5 linked regions of the Macaca mulatta genome follow. The protein of the gene in region 2 purifies or fractionates together with the protein of the main gene of each other region. This does not show direct contact. Links are inferred from orthologs where the notes say so. Each region holds a gene or a part of one and is shown on either strand. Other genes may lie near its edges. The genes, in order: FRS2, SOS1, EPS8, CRKL and PTPN11.

Region 1 (3,618 bases), on a different chromosome or scaffold from region 2:
ACTTGATCTCTTCCAAGTTGCTCCAATTTCTCTTTTTCCATTAATTGCTTTTGAACAGGCGTTGGCCCTAAAACAAATTTGACTCCTTCAGGTTCAAGAAGAATCTGAGGATCCCTGTCCTCAATACTACTTGGTTCTTCTTTTGGTGTGTTGCTTTCAGCGTTAGAAACCCTCGCCTCCAATGGAACATGCACACTTGTGCGGTTTTTCCGCTCTTCTTGCACACCTGTAGTGTTGACATAGGTATGTACCTAAAACAAAACAGAAAGTGAATTAATTTACTTAAAAAAACAAAACTGAAAAAAAGCCTGACCACATCAGTTAATTTTATTAACTTTCTCTCCAAATGTACTCTTACTTCAAAACTTTTGCAACTATTTTTTTATTAATAAAAAGGTGGAAAGAGAGAATAAATGTAGAAATGTCTTCCTAATTTGATAAAAGAGTAATGACTTTAAAATAACATGCAGGCTGGGTGCAATGGCCCACGCCTGTAATCCCAGCACTCTGGGACACTGAAGCGGGTGGATCACTTGAGGTTAGGAGTTCGAGACCAGCCTGGCCAACGTGGTGAAACCCCGTCCCTACTAAAAATACAAAAATTAGCTGGGCATGGTGGTGAGCGCCTGTAATCCCAGCTACTCTGGAGGCCGAGGCACGCAAATCACTTGAACCCGGGAGGCAGAGGTTGCAGTGAGCCGAGATTGCACCACTACATATCAGTCTGGGCAACAGAGTGAGGCTCCATCTCAAAAGATAAAGTAACATGCAACATTATATTTGATTGTTAAACATGATAATTATGCAAAAAATAAAAATCAGGAACAAAATAGGGATTATCATTTTGCTGCTGTTGTAGAGGTTCTCAAAGCATTAAAATATGATCCAGAAATAAATAACAACTTTGAAAAGAGATAAATTTATCCTTATTTACTGATGATCTGACTATATAAGATAAACTCTACTAGATTTAATAAGAGTTCTGTAAAATGCATAGATATAAAATAAATGCCACCTAGTAAGAAATTATCACTATTTAGAAAAGCTTAATGGTATTTTGGGGAGATAATATAAAAATATTTAGAAGGGCCGGGCGCAGTGGCTCACGCCTGTAATCTCAACACTTTGGGAGGCTGGAGCAGGTGGATCACTTGAGGTCAAGAGTTCAAAACTAGCCTGGCCAACACAGTGAAACCCTGTCTCTACTAAAAATACGAAACAATTAGCCGGTGTGGTGGCCTGCGCCTGTAATCCCAGCTACCTGGGAGGCTGAGGCAGAAGAACTGCTTGAACCCGGGAGGTGGAGGTTGCAGTGAGCTGAGATCACGCCACTGTACTCCAGCTTGCGCGACACAGAAAGACTCACGTAATTACAGTAAATAAGAACTCATTATGTACAGAACACAAAGAAACTGATTTTAAAAACACTAAAAACTTTTTAATATGACATATGGTTTACAAAACATAAGTATAACTAATTAATACAGAGGTTCCAACCAGATACTTCATTCCACACATGAAAACTAGAATAGTCGGGAACACTAAATAACTCCGTAACATTAACAGCAAAATCTACCTTCCTACTAGTAGTTCACTGACTGCAACGGCTAAAATATGAAAAGCAGCATAAACTCTTAATCCATTGGACGTTCTTATAATGGGAACTGACCATTAGTTATGCCTTTCTTAATCTATAGATGTACCTCTTCTGTGAACCCACAAGCTACTGTAATGCTAAGTTCCCCTGAATGCCTGCATATATTTGAGCATAAGCCAGCAAATATATGCTATTTCCTCTGATTGTTCACTACAAAAGTAATTTACAAACAGATAAACTTCAAGCTGAATAAAATCGTCTAGTTTTAGCACAGTGGTACCCTGACTCTGAACAATCATTATTGCTGTTACACCGGAGCATATGCTTACTTGTTCCTCAGCCACAAGCAAAGGATGTGTAGATTCTTCCCCTACTGAAGGCAGGCGAGCACTTCCCACAGAAGGATGTCTGCTTGAAGGATGGGATGAAGCATCTCCAAATGAGGGATATCGGGGATATCCATTAGGTAAGTTCTGAGCAGCAAATCCTGGAGCTGAGTTTTTTTTTAATTGGTTTAAGGAAAAGGGGGGTGGGGGCAGAGAGAATAAAAATGATTAAGAATCGAATCTGTACTGAGAGGATTATAAGAGGTCTTTCTGCCAAGACAGCAGAAATCAGAGCACAAATAGTATTACTCCCACTCCATATTTTAGATAATATGAAATACTAAATGTTTTCATTTTTAAAATATTTGAAGTACATAGAACTACAGCTTTTTTTTTTTTTTTTGAGATGGAGTCTTGCTCTGTCGCCCAGGCTGGAGTGTAGTGGCGCGATCTCTGCTCACTGCAGGCTCCACCTCCCGGGTTCATGCCATTCTCCTGCCTCAGCCTCCCGAGTAGCTGGGACTACAGGCATCCGTCACCACGCCCGGCTAATTTTTTTGTATTTTTTTAGTAAAGACGGGGTTTCACCGTGTTAGCCAGGATGCTCTCGATCTCCTGACCTCATGATCTGCCCACCTCAGCCTCCCAAAGTGCTGGGATTACAGGCATGAACAACCGTGCCCGGCCTACAGCTGTTTTTAAAAACTGACAACTATTATACTTCTGTTATCCAACGGTGATTTATAGTGTGTTATTGACTAAATATCCATAATCTGTATCTTACAACTAAATGTCTGTTATTCAAAATGTGAGAGGGAAAATGGGTACCTACTTGTAGGTGTTCGAGGTGTTCTAGGGACTTCCAATTCTGTCTGATGATTATTCCTTTCTACAACTGGCTCTTCCACCACATTTATACTATTATTTTGCATAATCTCTTGCAACATGTTAAATAATTCTTCTGCACGGGCACACTTAAAGGCAAAGATTCCTACAAATATAAACCAAAAGGGAAAAATAGTTAACATACCTTTGGAAAAACTATGGGAACACTTGACAAAGAGCAGAATTGTAAAGTAAGCATTCTATGCGCCAAGAGTAAGAAATCCCTTTAAAATAAATATCTGATAAATTAATGATTATTCCCTGTTTCAAAACAAGCCCCCGCCAAAAGTTCACAGAATAATTTTCATTCATCTAAGGGAGATGGCCCAAAACAAAGCTGATGAAATCAAGACCTGCACACTTAAGGCTCGTCTGTTTCTAAACAGCAGGGGGAGCCCAACTCACTACTCCAAGGTGATCATCTGCCATGTAACAGGCCCCTTGGAAAGTCCCTAGGTGTTTTCCAATTGCTATCTTGTTTAATTATTACAATAATTATAAGATAGGTATTACCATTTCCCTGTTATAGAGAAGAAATTTAACATTCAACAGAAGTCCTGTAACTTGTCAAGGCCATTCAAGTAATAGGTAGTAAAAAAATCAATGATAAAGACATTTAGTCAATTTAGCAGGCCCAATCATTTACTGAAAAATCTTAAAGGTAACACGAGCCAAAACTTCTCACATAGACAATGTGCTTAATAAACACTTGATAAATGAATACATAGTATACTATATCTTTTCTTAACAATCTGCTTATTTTGGGATTTTCATAAGAAAAATATTAATCTTTATATACAGAATAGCTGA
Region 2 (3,618 bases):
TTAGTTTTCTCATCCTGTCCCTGCTGCCTGTTGCTGAGGCCAAGTCCCAGTTGAGTGCAGCTGAAACGTGGGAAGACCCTTCCTTGCCCAACTTCCACTTATGGAATGGAGACTCTACCTTGGGTATGATATTTTGAGAATACTGAGAAAAGAGCCCTTCCTCTGGTTCCTGAAGGCGTGGTTCCATGCCAGAAGAGGCAGGTAAGGAGACCTCAGGCTACAGTACCATCGTCTGCCACTCTACCTGCTCAACCAAGCTCCTAGGGCAGAAGTGTCACTCAGAGAAAAGCTTGCCATTATCCCGAGCCTTAGAGCCCTGTTTCAAACAGATAGCTCCTAATCTTGTCATTTGCAACAAAGTATAAAGTAGTTTAAATTTAATGGTGCCCTTAAGAACAGAGGAAATTGTGGTGAAAGGCAATGGGGAAGAGATTTGTGGATCTAATGAAGATACACCCTAGACTGTAGGCAGAGTAGTTTGCAGGGGAGAACTAGGAAATAAGACAACTGAGAGAAGCCCTCCTGGGGTCAGAACAAGTATGAAACAGAAATCTCAGAAAACCATTCCTTCAAAGGAGCCACAATCTGATTGCATTATTTTGTATAGCATTTATGCCACCAGGAAATCGTTGAAAACATCAGAGCAATCAGCTGGCAAATTGTGGAGTTTCATAGCTGGGTGTGTGTGGTCAGGGAAGGAGTGGATGGGTCTTTCCAGTACCACTGCCACGCAGTAAGAATCCCTGGAAAGGGGGTTGGGGAATGAGGAGCAGCACTCAGAGTTGCTACAATATATTATCTGAAATGTCAGGGTTCCAACAAAAACAGATGAGGTATGCAAAGAAATAGAAAATATGACTCTTACAGCGGGGTGCGGGTGGGGGAGGGGGGAAGGAACAGAAACTACCTGTGAGAGCAACCAAATGTCAGATTTAACAACAATAACAAAAAAGATTTCTAAGTAGCCATTATGAATATGGTTACAGAATTAAAGGAAAGCATGAAAAAGAAGGAAAGGAAGGTGTTGATGACAATGCGCATCAAAGAGAGGATATCATTAAAGAGATAGAAACTATAAAAAGGAACCAAATGGAAATTCTGGAATTAAAAAGTACAATAACTGAAATAAAAAACTTACTGGAAAAGCTCAATAGTGTATTTGAACTGAAAAAAAGTATTAACTTGAAGATAGAGGTATTGTTCAAAAATGAAGGTAAAATAAAGATTTTCCCAGATAAACAAAAACTGAGAGAATCTGTTGCTAGCCGACCCTCCAGAAGAAATACTAAAGGAAATTCTTCAGGCTGAAAAGCAAGTGATCCCAGATGGTAATTCGAATCCACACAAAGATCACCAGTAAAGGTAATTGGGTAATTATTAAAGACATTTTGTAAATGCGTATTTTTTTTCTCATTTCTTCTCATAACTGACTTAAAATAATATAAACACATTGTTGAGTTTATAACATAGAAATGTAATATATGTGTAATATGTTGCCAATAATACACAAAGGAGGTGGGTGAGAGCAAAGCTTTAATGGTCTAAGAGTATGATGACAAATGGTAAAGTAATAACTGTAGCAATGTATTGTTTGATTTGCATTATTAATAAGATGTAATATGTATAACAGTACCACAAAAAAGGGAGAAAGGGAATAGAGCTACATAGGAGTAATATTTCTATATATCACTGGTATGAAGCTACTGTAAGTCTGAAGCTGATTCTGACAAGATGTGTGTGGTAAACTCTAAGGCAACCAGGCAACCATTAAAAGAACCTCAAAAAAAGTTAATGAAAATAATTAGTGAAACTAAAATGCTACATTAGAAAAACATTCAACGTTTTCTAATGAAAAATATTGTCATTTTCATTCAATGAAAAACAATTACTAAATAAAGGAGGAACAGAGGAAAAAGACATGAGACATATAGAAATAAAATTGCATTGGTCAGGAACAATGGCTCATGCCTGTAATCCCAGCACTTTGGGAGGCCAAGATGGGTGGATCACTTGAGGTCAGGAGTTCAAGACCAGCCTGGCCAACATGGTGAAACCCCGTCTCTACTAAAAATACAAAAATTAGCTGGGTGTGGTGGTACACGTCTGTAGTTCCAGCTACTTAGGAGGCTGAGGCCTGAGAATTGCTTGAACCCAGAAAGCAGAGGTTTCAGTGAGCTAAGATCACGCACTGCACTCTAGCCTGGGCAACAGAGCCAGACTCTGTCTCAAAAAAAAAAGAAAAATTAGGTGAGTGTAATATCACACACACTGTAATCCTGGCTACTCTGGAGGCTGAGGTGGGAGGATCGCTTGAGCCTGGGAGGTGGAGGTTTCAGTGGGCCGATGTTGTGCACTCCAGCCTATGTGACAGAGCAAAACTCCCTCTCAAAAACAAAAACAAAAACAAAATTGCATTGAAATTCATAATATAGCTGACAGCTATAAAATGTAAGAATGCTAGGAATACTTACTTCTCAAACCACAGAGTAAGGTTGGTGGTATGTCGAATCATTTTCAGAAGATTAGGAGAGTTAATTTCTTTGTCTTCTTTTGTCCACACACTTCCAACTAATTCTGATGGCTGTACAGCTCTAAAATCATCAATACATAATTCTACATGACAGTTTTTCCTCTAATATAGACACTGTTTTATTAAGTAAAGGAGATAGATTAAAAACTAAACTCTCATATGAACTTTCCTCTTACACCAACAGAAAGGTTTGTGAAAACAAGGTATAACAAAAAAGTATAATTATGCATATTTCCTTATGGATTTTTTAAAACTTTTTTTTTTTTTTTTTTTTTTTTGAGATGGAGTTCCACTCTTGTTGTCCAGGACGGAGTGCAATGGCACAATCTTGGCTCACTGCAACCTCCACCTCCCGGGTTCAAGTGACTCTCCTGCCTGAGCCTCTCGGGTAGCTGGGATTACAGGTGCCCGTCACTAAGCCTGGCTAATTTTTTGTATTTTTAGTAGACAAAAGGTTTCACCATGTTGGCCAGGCTGGTCTCGAACTCCTGACCTTGGGTGATCCACCTGCCTTGGCCTCCCAAAGTGCTGGGATTACAAGAGTGAGCCACAACGCCCGGCCTTTAAAAACTGTTTTTAAAAACTATTTTTATGGAAATACCTGTGTACTTTTAGTGTTGCTTTATAGTAGCATTTTGCTTTGGGCAAGGTTGAAACTCCTCCATAATATCTTTTCCAGCATTTATAAACATTATTAATAAATTAGGGTGACAAAGTAGACATTTAAGTAATGATATCTGTTATAAATCAGTTCAAAGAGGGTACAGTAATCAATGCAATTCCTACATCTTTTTTTTTTTGGTCTAAAGGAGGAGAGGAAAAAAACCTACCACAAAAGGGTCCTAGGAAATAAACAAAATAGATTCTAATACTGTAATTTTCAGAAATATGATTTTTAGTGGGAGATCTATAAATTTAGCTCATTTTCTCATTTAGCTATTAAAAAATGAATAATTTAGTTTAAGATTCTAAATAGTCCCCATTTAAAATCAGAAGGACATTTTTGAGATAATTATATCAATGTAGTATGATAAACTAAAAAAGACTATAATGGCTATAAGTTCACAATAAAGCAGTAGCCAACATTT
Region 3 (4,101 bases), on a different chromosome or scaffold from region 2:
ATACATTTAGTGGTGTTCCGGATGGTAGGGTCCTGGAACAGAAAAAGGACATTAAAAACTAAGGAAATCTAAATAAAGTATAAACTTTGTTAATGCTAATGTACCGATACTGGTTCATTAACAGTAACAAATACTAATATAAGATGTTAATAAGGGGGGAAGCTGGTATGGGGGTATATTGACACTGTATTTGTAGCTTTCCTGTAAATCCAAAACTTCTGAGAAATAAGGTCTATTTTTTTAAAATCCCATTTAGGAATGCATCTAGAAAATACAGAAAAGGTTGTAGTGAAGCACTGAAGACCTTACACTTTCTTGCATATATTCAACTTAAAATGTTTGCAACTATACCAATGCAGAATTTTTCTTACAAAAATATTTTCAATCACTAACAGCTGCAAACAATTTCATGTAGTATTAATAATTCCCAGGAGGGATTTACTATAGCCAGAGTACTTTAATTAAAATTTCACTTTTTCCCCCTGACATACCTCTACAGATGTCCAAAAGTTTGTACCCTATCATTAACTTACGTTGTTTTGTGATGACCCATGTAACTACCAAGTATGTTTCATACAACTCGGGAAAGCTGAGTTGTATATAAATATTACATAAATCAGTGCTTAAATATTCATCCAATAGAATTTCAAGTATCTAAAGAGACAACTTCTAAAAAGCTATCATTTCCTATTCTGGATACTATGTTTTCTTATACAAACCTTGGTTCAAGTGACCTGCTACAGAATTAAAAGAGGTATGTAAAAGAAGGGAGTAGAGAGAAGAATAAAAAGCAGTAGGGGAAAGGGTGTGAAATAGAGGGTAACAAAACAACTAGGATTGGGAATGTAATAAACACAAAGTAGACAGTAGCAAGCCAATGCCATAGCATAGAAAAGAACTGGTATCTGAAAAGAATCAGTATTGATAAAACCTTGAAAGCAGGAAAAAGCTAGAAATAAAAACAAAATGAATCTTTATGTTTGATCACAAACAAGCAAAATATTCAAAATTAGACACTAGGTTCCTGACAGGAAACAAAAGAAACATCACCCCATTAAAAGAAACATCACCCCATTAAGAGTGGGGCTATTAATAGTGTCAGTTAAATTACACTTGCTAGAAATTACTATATATAATATTCAATGACATTGGGAAGTGAAAAAAATTACAAAGAGAATGCACCAAGTCTTGTAAACAGCAGTTATCTCAGAATAGTAGAATTAAAAGCAAATTATATTTTCCTTCTTTTTTCCTGCTATAAAGTGAATGACTTGTGGTGCAATCTTACGAAGTCTCAATCTGTGTATTCTGCACTAAACGCATTCTATTAACACTATTGTATTTGTGATACATTCTACCTTACCCTTTATGTGACAATTCTATACTGTTTTAACTTTCAAATTGTAAGTAAAAGTGTGAATTCGTGACCAAAAATTTTCCACACCAGTAACTTAAGAACTACAGCAATATGTTTAGAAAACTGCGATCCCAAACAAAAAATTCTATACTAGGTGAGACAGGATGACATTGACTTTAATTCCAATAGACTCACTAGCACATGATGTCCATTACTATTGCTCACTTTCCAGAACCCAAGGAGCTGTGGAAGAATAGAGTCCTTTCAATGAAAATAAACTAGAGGAAATACACAACACAGTTACTTTGAGGGGTTTTTTAATTATTATCATTATTTTCAATATAAAGAAGCCTGCCCGGAATCCTAACTCTCCTATTTCTCAAAAACGACAAAGCCAAAAAATCACACTCTTCACATACACATCTGAAACCAAGTTTTATCTGAACTCATCCTAACATATTAGCTCTTTTTACCAATTCCTCTTTACTATCTAAGGCAAGAAACCTTGAAAACAGAAGCAGTAACACTTTTCACTGAAACATATTTTGTAAAGGAGGGTTCTAAATCCTAATGCTTCACCGCTCTAGATGTCTACGGATTTCAAATCCTAATACCACGGCGTCCTGCCCCCCGCGAGATTCCAACAGTACTACGGGCCCTATGGGAGGAAGAGGATTTAAGAAACACCGCAGGAGAACGATCGGTGCAAAGATTTTGCAAACAGGTAGTCCTAGGAAAGAAAGTAAGAGTGAGAACATCGGAGAGAGCAGGGGGTACATGGGTGGGGAAACCCATTTCAAATGCATGAACTGACCACAACCGGAGAAAAGCCGTCTGTCTTCCCAAAAGTAAAATGGTGAGTAAAGTGGAGTAAGCTAAGAAAGTCAACAGCAATTAGGCATTGACAACGATTCCGAAACAATGAGCTATCTTAATTTGAGGGGGTGAACGGGGGTGGGACCCTGTCCCAAAGGGTCATTTTGAAAAGAACCCCTCCCCATTTGAGGCGGGTGGGGAGAGCAGTTCAACAAATCCCAAGTCTAAGATAATAAGCCGAGATCGGGATACTCGGTCTGCAGTCGCCCCACGGACCAGATGAGCGCAGGTGTATCTGCGGAAGCTCAGGTTACCATGAATATCACTGAGCCACGGCGAACCTTCCCTGCCCAGCCTCCCGGAGCCCTGGGCGCGGGTCTGCACGGGCCCCGCGGCTTGCCCGGACCCGGCGAGCGAACGTCTCCGGCCGCAGCGCCCTCGCGCACCTGGCTGCCAACACCAGTTGAAAGCAAAGTGAAGGGAGGCGGACGCGGCTCCTGGCACCGCTCCGATCCAGCACACAAAGGCGGATTTTTAAAATCGAGAGAGTCAAAGCCGCCGGACCCCCGGACCGGCGCCTTTCGCCAAGGGGCTCTTACCTCGGATCCGCCCTCGGGGCCACGGCTTTCCCCGGAGACGCCGCGAGCCCAGACGAGGTGGGAGGGGACCGGGAGAAAGCCCCCCAATCTGATTCGCGCCCAGCCAGTCGTCCGCGAGCCGCGGAGCCGCCCCCTGCGCCCAGCTGAAGAGCAGCGATCTCCGAGGCGAGCACAGCGCCGGCCTCGCGCCGGGCGAGACCGCCTCGCTAGCTGCTGCCTGTGAAGTCTGGAGCCGCCCGCCCGCTCACGGCCAGTGCCAACCGCGCGCCGCGCATGCCCAGTGCCCGCGCGAGGAACCGGGGAGCGGGCGGGCAGGCGAGTGCGCGCCGCGCAGCCAGGAGCGGGATCCGCTCTCCGGGTCTTGCTGGCAGCCGAGCCGCGGAGTTCTGGTCGACTCCAGCGCTGGAGGCGAAGCGGCCGGTGAGGCCGGGTGGGCGGGAGAGGGACCGGAGGAAAGGAGACGGGGCGCTGCGCCAAGTTATCAAGGCCGCGATCAAAGTCGGACCAAGGCAGCGAGCCGACAGCGGGTTTTCCAGAAGTGCCCTAGCAGGACCGACTAGCAGGCAGGAGGCGCGGGAAGGAGCAAAGAGCGTGTGGAGAGCTTCGCCCCCGGCAAGGATGGACGCCCCGGGCGGAGAAAGCGCTCGGGTTGCAACACCCGGGGTCTGGCTGCATCTCGTAACCCCTGCCCTATGGCGGCAAACAAGCCGCCCCTAATGACCAGCCAGCCTTCGTCTTCCTCCTCTGGCCCTCGGACCTATTTTCCCCTTTTTGTCGCTTTCCTCTTTTTTTGTTGTCTCTCTAACCCATGCGGTAAAACTGGTGGTGCCCAAGGCCCTCCATCGGGTCCCTGGGACTCTCCCAACTGCCGGTCCTTAGCGCCAGCCTGCAAGCCCAGACCCGCCTCGTCCGGCTGCCTGGGAGTCTATTTTTCTTGTAGCTCTTGCCAAAAGCCCTGATGTGGTTTGAAGTAGTGGAGGCTTCTTTCACTTTGTGCTTCTCGTGCCTTAACCAACCCTCGTAACCTCCTCTCTGAGTAGCTTATGGAGCCTCTAAAGGAGAAGTCCATCTTCTCATAGACATTGTGTTTTCTCACTCTTAAAACTCCTCATTGTCATAGCTACTCCCGCAATCCCCCCATGCTGTCCTAATTTCGAAGTCAGTTGACTTCCAGAAGTCAACGAAAGCCTATAAATTAAACTTGGTTAAAAGAGATTGGACCTGCTTGCTTTGTGAAGCAAATAAAAGCACAGTCAGGGAGAAACGAGATAACATGCCAAGGTGGACATTAAAACCATTCTAAAAGTTGGAATCGATCTAACGGCTAAG
Region 4 (3,618 bases), on a different chromosome or scaffold from region 2:
TGGAGTGCAGTGGCGTGATCTCGGCTCACTGCAAGCTCCGCCTCCCGGGTTCACGCCATTCTCCCGCCTCAGCCTCCCAAGTAGCTGAGACTACAGGCGCCCGCCACCACGCCCGGCTAGTTTTTTGTATTTTTAGTAGAGACGGGGTTTCACCATGTTAGCCAGGATAGTCTCGATCTCCTGACCTCGTGATCCACCCTCCTCGGCCTCCCAAAGTGCTGGGATTACAGGCTTGAGCCACCGCGCCCGGCCTTATTTATGTTTTGAGACATAGTCTTGTTCTGTTGTCCAGGCTGGAGTGTAATGATGCAGTCATAGCTCCCTGCAGCTTCTAACTCCTGGGCTCAAGTAATGCTTCTGCCTCAGCCTCTTGAGTATCTGGGACCCCAGGTGTGTGCCACCATGCCCAGCTAATTTTTTGTCTTTTTAGTAGAGACAGGGTTTTGATATGTTGGACAGGCAGGTCCCCAAGTGATCTGCCTGCCTTGGCCTCCGCAGGTCTCCAAGTGATCTGCCTGCCTTGGCCTCCCAAAGTGCTGGGATTACAGTTCTGAGCCACCACTCCTGGTAGATTTATTGTTTTTAACTTGGCAAGTCTGTAAGCCCTTTTTTGTTCCTTTTTTTTCAAGGGGCCAGAGGTAGAGGCCTTTGTCATTTTCTGTGTGTCCAGGGAAGTGTGCAGGATGTATAAGCCATAGATTAGGAGTGGGAGGAAGAGTGTGTGGTGGTTGTGACAAGGGTCCAAAGGAAGGCAGCTTCCGAACTTACTTGAGATTATAAAAATAAATTTAAACCAGGTATCTCTGTGTAATCAAAAGGTTTCTGTAAAACAGAGATGAAGTGTATGTGTGTGTATATACTTGTAATTTGAAAAGACATTCAGAATAGTAACTTCTGGGACAGTACAGACTACAAAAATTACAGCATGATAGAACCTTCTTAACTACTAAGAATATAGAAAGGAAAATAAGGCCTGGCATGGTGGCTCACACCTGTAATCCCAGCACTTTGGGAGGCTGAGGCAGGTGGATCACTTGAGGCCAGGAGTTTGAGACCAGCCTGGCCAATATGCCAAAATCCTGTCTCTACTAAAAACACAAAATTTATCTGGGTATGGTGTTGCACATCTGTAATCTCAGCTAGTCGGAAGGCTGAGGCAGAAGAATCACTTGAACACCGGAGGCAGGGGTTGCAGTGAACTGAGATTGCGCCACTGCACTCCACCTGGGTGACAGAGCAAGATTCTGTCTCAAAAAAAAAAAAGTCTGGGCTCGGTGGCTCACACCTATAATCCCAGCACTTTGGGAGGCCGAGGCAGGTGGATCACGAGGTCAGGAGATCGAGGCCATCCTGGCTAACAAGGTGAAATTCCGTCTCTACTAAAAAATAGAAAAAATTAGCGGGGCATGGTGGCATGTGCCTGTAGTCCCAGCTACTCAGGAGGCTGAGGCAGGAGAATTGCTTGAACTTGGGAGGCAGAGGTTGCGGTGAGCTGAGATCCCGCCACTGCACTCCAGCCTGGGCAACAGAGCAAGACTCCGTCTCCAAAAAAAAAAAAAAAGTAGGGGCCAGGTGTGGTGGCTTATGCCTGTAATCCCCAGCACTTTGGGAGGCTGAGGTGCATGGATCACCCAATGTCAGGAGTTCAAGACCAACTTGGCCAACATGGTGAAAACCCTTCTCTACTAAAAATACAAAAAAACATTACCCGGGCATGGTGGTGGGTGCCTGTAACCCCAGCTACTCGGGAGGCTGAGGCAGAAGAATCACTTGAACCAGGGAGGCAGAGATTGCAGTGAGCTGAGATCACGCTATTGCACTCCAGCATGGGCAACAAGAGCGAAACTTGTCTCAAAAAAAAAAAGAAAAGGAAAATAATTTATTGTAGAGGAAAGTGGTTTATTAAGAAGTTTGACAGGCACTGGCTTAGAGTAAGATTTTTCTCTTATAGTAATTTTCTTTCTCTCTTAAGGTATCCAAGCCCACCAATGGGCTCTGTCTCAGCACCCAACCTGCCTACAGCAGAAGATAATCTGGAATATGTACGGACTCTGTATGATTTTCCTGGAAATGATGCCGAAGACCTGCCGTTTAAAAAGGGTGAGATCCTAGTGATAATAGAGAAGCCTGAAGAACAGTGGTGGAGTGCCCGGAACAAGGATGGCCGGGTTGGGATGATTCCTGTCCCTTATGTCGAAAAGCTTGTGAGATCCTCACCACACGGAAAGCATGGAAATAGGAATTCCAACAGTTATGGGATCCCAGAACCTGCTCATGCGTACGCTCAACCTCAGACCACAACTCCTCTACCTGCAGTTTCCGGTTCTCCTGGGGCAGCAATCACCCCTTTGCCATCCACACAGAATGGACCTGTCTTTGCGAAAGCAATCCAGAAAAGAGTACCCTGTGCTTATGACAAGACTGCCTTGGCATTAGAGGTAAAATCTGTTCAGACTAGCTTTTTGGGTCCTTTGACATTTGGTTTTAATTTTTAGTTTTAGTTTCTGCTCATTTAAGCTTATATTCATGGAATTAGAGCACTTAGATGATTTTGGGAGATACGCACTGTTAGCATTTCATGTTTAAATTTTTTTACAGAGACAAGGTCTCTGTTAAAAAGAGTTGTTTGCCCAGGCTGATCTCGACATCCTGGCCTCAAGCAAATCCTCCTACCTCAACCTCCCATAGTACTGGGGTGACAGATATGAGCCACCGTGCCCGGCCTGTTATTAGTGTTTCACAGGTTGTTTTCTTCTTTCCTATTCCTTGTTTGTCCCACATTCTCAGCCTCCTTGCTCTTTTTTGTTCCCAAAGCCTAACAGATTTAGTTTTGCAGTCATTGGTTTTTCTTCCAGTAAGGAAAGATAATAATTAAGGAAGACCCATGACCTAGAGGCAAAATCAGCATACAGATGCATAGCTACTTGTATGGTTCTGTATTTCTAACATTGGAATCAGTTGAGAAATATGAAAATGTCTTAGAATTTCTCTTGAACTTGGTAGAGGAATTAATTTTTTTTTTGACAGAGTCTTGCTCTGTCACCCAGGCTGGAGTGCAGTGGCGCGATCTCTGCTCACTGCAAGCTCTGCCTCCCGGGTTCACGCCATCTCCTACCTCAGTCTCCCGAGTAGCTGGAACTACAGGCACCTGTCACCATGCCCAGCTAATTTTTTGTATTTTTAGTAGAGACGGAGTTTCACCGTATTAGCCAGGATGGTCTCGATCTCCTGACCTCGTGATCCACCTGTCTCGGCCTCCCAAAGTGCTGAGATTACAGGTGTGAGCCACCGTGCCCGGCCCAGGAATGATTTTTTTTGAGATGGAGTCTCGCTTTGTCACCCAGGCTCCAGCACAGTGGCATGATCTTGGCTCATTGCAACCTCCACCTCCCGGGTTGAAATGATTATCCTGTCTCAGCCTCCCAAGTAGCTGGGATTACAGATGCCTGCCAGCCTGCCCATCGAATTTTTGTATTTTTAGTAGAGATGGGGTTTCAACATGTTGGCCAGGCTGGTCTTGAACTCCTGACCTCAGGCGATCTGCCTGCCTCGGCCTCCCAAAGTGCTGGGATTACAGACATGTATGACCACGCCCAGCCATAGAGGAATGATTTTAAA
Region 5 (3,618 bases), on a different chromosome or scaffold from region 2:
CCGTGACACTACAAAAAATGCAAAAATTAGCTGGGTGTGGTGGCACATGCCTGTAGTACCAGCTACTTGGGAGGCTGAGGTGGGAGGATCGCTTAACCCTGGGAGACTGAGGCTGCAGTGAGCCATGATTGCACCACTGCACTCCAGCCTGGTCAACAGAGAGAGACCTCTCTCATTTAAAAAAAAAAAAAAGACATTCCTGAACATGCTCCAAATTGTAGTAACTATGCTACATTTGCTTTGTATTTACTAGGAAATCCTTCTCTTTGGGCAACTTTTTGCCTAACTATTCTTGGGCCAAATTAAGTATAATGGAAGACATATATAAAATAACTTATAGTAACCATCTAAATATTTCATATCACTTAATACAAATTCAGATTTAAAGCACTGAAGTTGGCCAGGTGCAGTAGCTCACGCCTGTAATCCCAGCACTTTGGGAGGCCGAGGCGGGTGGATCACGAGGTCAGGAGATCAAGACCATCCTGGCTAATACGGTAAAACCCCATCTCTACTATAAATACAAAAAATTAGCCGGGTGCGGTGGTGGGTGCCTGTAGTCCCAGCTACTCGGGAGGCTGAGGCAGGAGAATGGTGTGAACCTGGGAGGCAGAGTTTGCAGTGAGCCGAGATCGTGCCACTGCACTCCAGCCTGGGCAACAGAGCAAGACTCCGTCTCAAAAAATAATAACAATAATAAATAAAAATTTTTAAAAAATAAAGCACTGAAGTTCAAATTTTGACCTTAATTTCTATACATACAGTTTCTGAAGATGTCTATGTATAATAAAACAATTCCGTATGTCTGTGTGGACTGAAAACCTACTAAACTAATTAGCAGTTACCTTACTTTGGCCCACCAAACTTTGATAAAGTGGCTGCTATTCTGCTAGTCTAGAAATCTTTCAAATATTGGTGGCAGGTCCCATTCTGAAAAGAGCTCAGCATTTGGAGAAGCTGAGTTCTCTGGAAGGCAATGAGCAGAGTAATGCAGGCAATCGTCACTGATGTTTAGACACTACCCCATCTGCAGCATGGCAATGGGGTTGAGGGGTGGGGGAGAGAAGCACAGCCCCCAAAAGAGCAGTTCTCCTCATTTCCTTCATCTCAGCATATTCCTAATTAACTCAGCTTTGTGCCTGTTATGAATAGCTTCAGATGGAAAGGCTCCAATTCCACATTCCTCTTCATTATGCACAGCTTATTAAAATTGAAATTTCACTGTTTCCAACTCGACCAAATTAGTGGTTCAAACTGCTGTGCGCTATTAAGAGTGAGGCATTCGTTTTAAAGGATGGAATCAGGATAAACATGGCCTGGATCAAGGCTGGAACAGGCTAGAAACTTCAAGGCTTTGAGTTTTATGCTTGCCACGTGAGCCTGGGAACATCAGACCTTTCTGCATGGCAGTTCTTCAATCTGGCAGGCCAGGCTGATAGGATGGTGCCCTTCCCTAAGCTCCTCTGCAGTGAAAAATCAGAGCTGAGAAGTAGAGAATAATTAACAGTTTCCAGAAGCCCTTTTAGTTGGGAGTTTGTTTCCCATTCCCAAATCAAACAGTTGTCTATCAGAGCCTCTCCTCCTGCTCAAAAGGAGAGCGTATCCAAGAGGCCTAGAAAGAGAATGCGAATCTGCATGCCAGCCCTCAGGCTGGTACCTGCTCTTCTTCAATCCTGCGCTGTAGTGTTTCAATATAATGCTGGACCGCCATATAGATAAATCGGTACTGTGCTTCTGTCTGGACCATCCCTGACCTCTGAGACCGCACCATCTGGATGGTTTTGGGAACGTCAATGTCGCAGTCAACACCTACGAAGGAAACATCAAGAAGAATAAAGAGAAACTGCAGAACCAGGATGAAGTTGTTTACACACAACTTTTAGTGGACTCACAGACAATGCTGATTTAGTCTTTGTTGTTTTAATTGAGCATGTTGCAATGGCTACAGTGTTGAACTTCTGACCAATACCAAAGATCCCAGAAGACTACATAAATAATAAAGTGGCAGAGGTCAGGATTCCCTCACTTTCCAACAAATCACCCCATACTGTAAACAAGGTTCAGGTGGCTGGATAGAGACCACCACTGTGTATGCAACAAAAGGCCACGGCAGTGGGTTCAGCAGCTCCTAGACTTCATTTTATGCCAAAAGCTCAAATAGTGTCACTTCTGTTCTCAAGCAGACACACTGAAGTCTTCAGCCCAGATTTTTGTGAAAAATTTTTCCCATTCAACCTCTCTTCCCTAGGCTGTTTTCACGAGCACTTTCCTTCCATAAACTAAAAACAGAAACTGTCACTTCTTGCCCGCCAGATGACCCACCTTTCTCTCTGATGATGTCAATAAGAATATCAATCACAATGAATGTCCCTGTCCGGCCAATTCCAGCACTGCGGGCAGAAGGACAAAAAGCAGGGACAACAGAATCATTCATGGGGGTTTCAGACTCAAAACCAAGCCATTAGTATTAACAGAAACAATGTCTACTCTTGGGAGCTATTTATAAAATTGTCTCTTTATGTTTGAAAATATGTTGGCAAAAAGCACAGGGCTTTGAAGTCAGCCCAAACCTGCTCTTGGAGTTCAGCTTCTCCAGTACAACGTGCCTGAGTTAAGTCCCTTAACCTCTCTGACCCTCAGTTTCCGCATCTGTGAAATGGGGACAACAGCACATACCATACAGAGTGCTGGTTGGACAGAATGAAACAGGAATCGTATACAAAAAAATACATCAAAATTACTGAAAGAGGGCCAGGCACAGTGGTTCTCGCCTATAATCCCAGCACTTTGGGAGGCCGAAGCAAGATGATCACTTAAGACCAGGAGTTCCAGACCAGCCTGGTCAACATAGCAATACCTCGTCTCTACTAAAAACACAAAAATTAGCCAGGCATGTTGTCATGCACCTGTAATCCCAGCTACTCAGGAGGCTGAGACATGAGAATTGCTTGAACCTAGAAAGCAGAGGTTGCAGTGAGCTGAGATCGCACCACTGCACTCCAGCCTGGGTGACAGAGTGAGACTCTGTCTCAAAAAATAATAATAATAAAGTTACTGAAATAGAAGAAATAAATAATTTTAAAAATTAAAAACAAAAAACATTGTGCTCAGAGGCTGGCTCAATAAATGGTAGCTTCTTTAACAACTGGACAAATAAAAAAGTTTCACATATATCTACCTGCCCAAGAAATGAATGAGATTTAGGAGACCCAATGTTCCCCAGTATAATCATGAAGCCCAGACTGGAGAATCAGCAGCCCACAGACTCATTACAAAGGTCACAGCACAGCTTCCTTCAAAGGCGTTGGTAGAAAGCAGCTGGAAGCTTGTGAGGCAAACAAATATAGTGTTGGGGAAGAAATATATTTATGGTAGAAGAGAACAGAATGGGCCAGGTGTGGTGGCTCACACTTACAATCCCAGCACTTTGGGAGGACAAGGCAGGTGGGTCACTTGAGGTCAAGCATTCGAGACCAGTCTGGCCAACATGACAAAACCTTGTCTCTATCAAAATACAAAAATTAGCCAGGCGTGGTGTCAGACACCTGTAATCTCAGCTACTTGGGAGACTGAGGCAGAAGAATGGCCTGAACCCAGGAGGCGGAAGTTGCAGTGAGC

What was found.
Region 1: the proteins of SOS1 (region 2) and FRS2 purify together in Homo sapiens (affinity purification with western blotting; 5 studies listed by BioGRID). This does not show direct contact. The link is inferred for Macaca mulatta from reciprocal best matches to the Homo sapiens genes SOS1 and FRS2.
Region 3: the proteins of SOS1 (region 2) and EPS8 purify together in Homo sapiens (affinity purification with western blotting; 5 studies listed by BioGRID and IntAct, with this or other methods). This does not show direct contact. The link is inferred for Macaca mulatta from reciprocal best matches to the Homo sapiens genes SOS1 and EPS8.
Region 4: the proteins of SOS1 (region 2) and CRKL purify together in Homo sapiens (affinity purification with mass spectrometry; 3 studies listed by BioGRID and IntAct, with this or other methods). This does not show direct contact. The link is inferred for Macaca mulatta from reciprocal best matches to the Homo sapiens genes SOS1 and CRKL.
Region 5: the proteins of SOS1 (region 2) and PTPN11 purify together in Homo sapiens (affinity purification with western blotting; 4 studies listed by BioGRID and IntAct, with this or other methods). This does not show direct contact. The link is inferred for Macaca mulatta from reciprocal best matches to the Homo sapiens genes SOS1 and PTPN11.

The regions. Positions count from the first base shown.
Region 1 is NC_133416.1:76,699,352-76,702,969, reverse strand, and holds part of FRS2 (fibroblast growth factor receptor substrate 2), read right to left. Parts: intron 2,915-3,618; coding exon 2,756-2,914; intron 2,091-2,755; coding exon 1,927-2,090; intron 252-1,926; coding exon 1-251. UniProt on the Homo sapiens protein: Adapter protein that links activated FGR and NGF receptors to downstream signaling pathways.
Region 2 is NC_133418.1:85,934,501-85,938,118, reverse strand, and holds part of SOS1 (son of sevenless homolog 1), read right to left. Parts: intron 2,592-3,618; coding exon 2,472-2,591; intron 1-2,471.
Region 3 is NC_133416.1:18,246,097-18,250,197, forward strand, and holds the start of EPS8 (epidermal growth factor receptor kinase substrate 8), read right to left. Parts: upstream 2,874-4,101; 5' UTR 2,773-2,873; exon of another isoform or gene 2,620-2,772; intron 2,222-2,619; exon of another isoform or gene 2,172-2,221; intron 1-2,171. UniProt on the Homo sapiens protein: Signaling adapter that controls various cellular protrusions by regulating actin cytoskeleton dynamics and architecture. Depending on its association with other signal transducers, can regulate different processes.
Region 4 is NC_133415.1:31,780,211-31,783,828, forward strand, and holds part of CRKL (crk-like protein), read left to right. Parts: intron 1-1,972; coding exon 1,973-2,438; exon of another isoform or gene 2,439-3,028; intron 3,029-3,618. UniProt on the Homo sapiens protein: May mediate the transduction of intracellular signals.
Region 5 is NC_133416.1:119,734,999-119,738,616, reverse strand, and holds part of PTPN11 (tyrosine-protein phosphatase non-receptor type 11), read right to left. Parts: intron 2,391-3,618; coding exon 2,323-2,390; intron 1,844-2,322; exon of another isoform or gene 1,810-1,843; coding exon 1,658-1,809; exon of another isoform or gene 727-1,657; intron 1-726. UniProt on the Homo sapiens protein: Acts downstream of various receptor and cytoplasmic protein tyrosine kinases to participate in the signal transduction from the cell surface to the nucleus. Positively regulates MAPK signal transduction pathway. Dephosphorylates GAB1, ARHGAP35 and EGFR.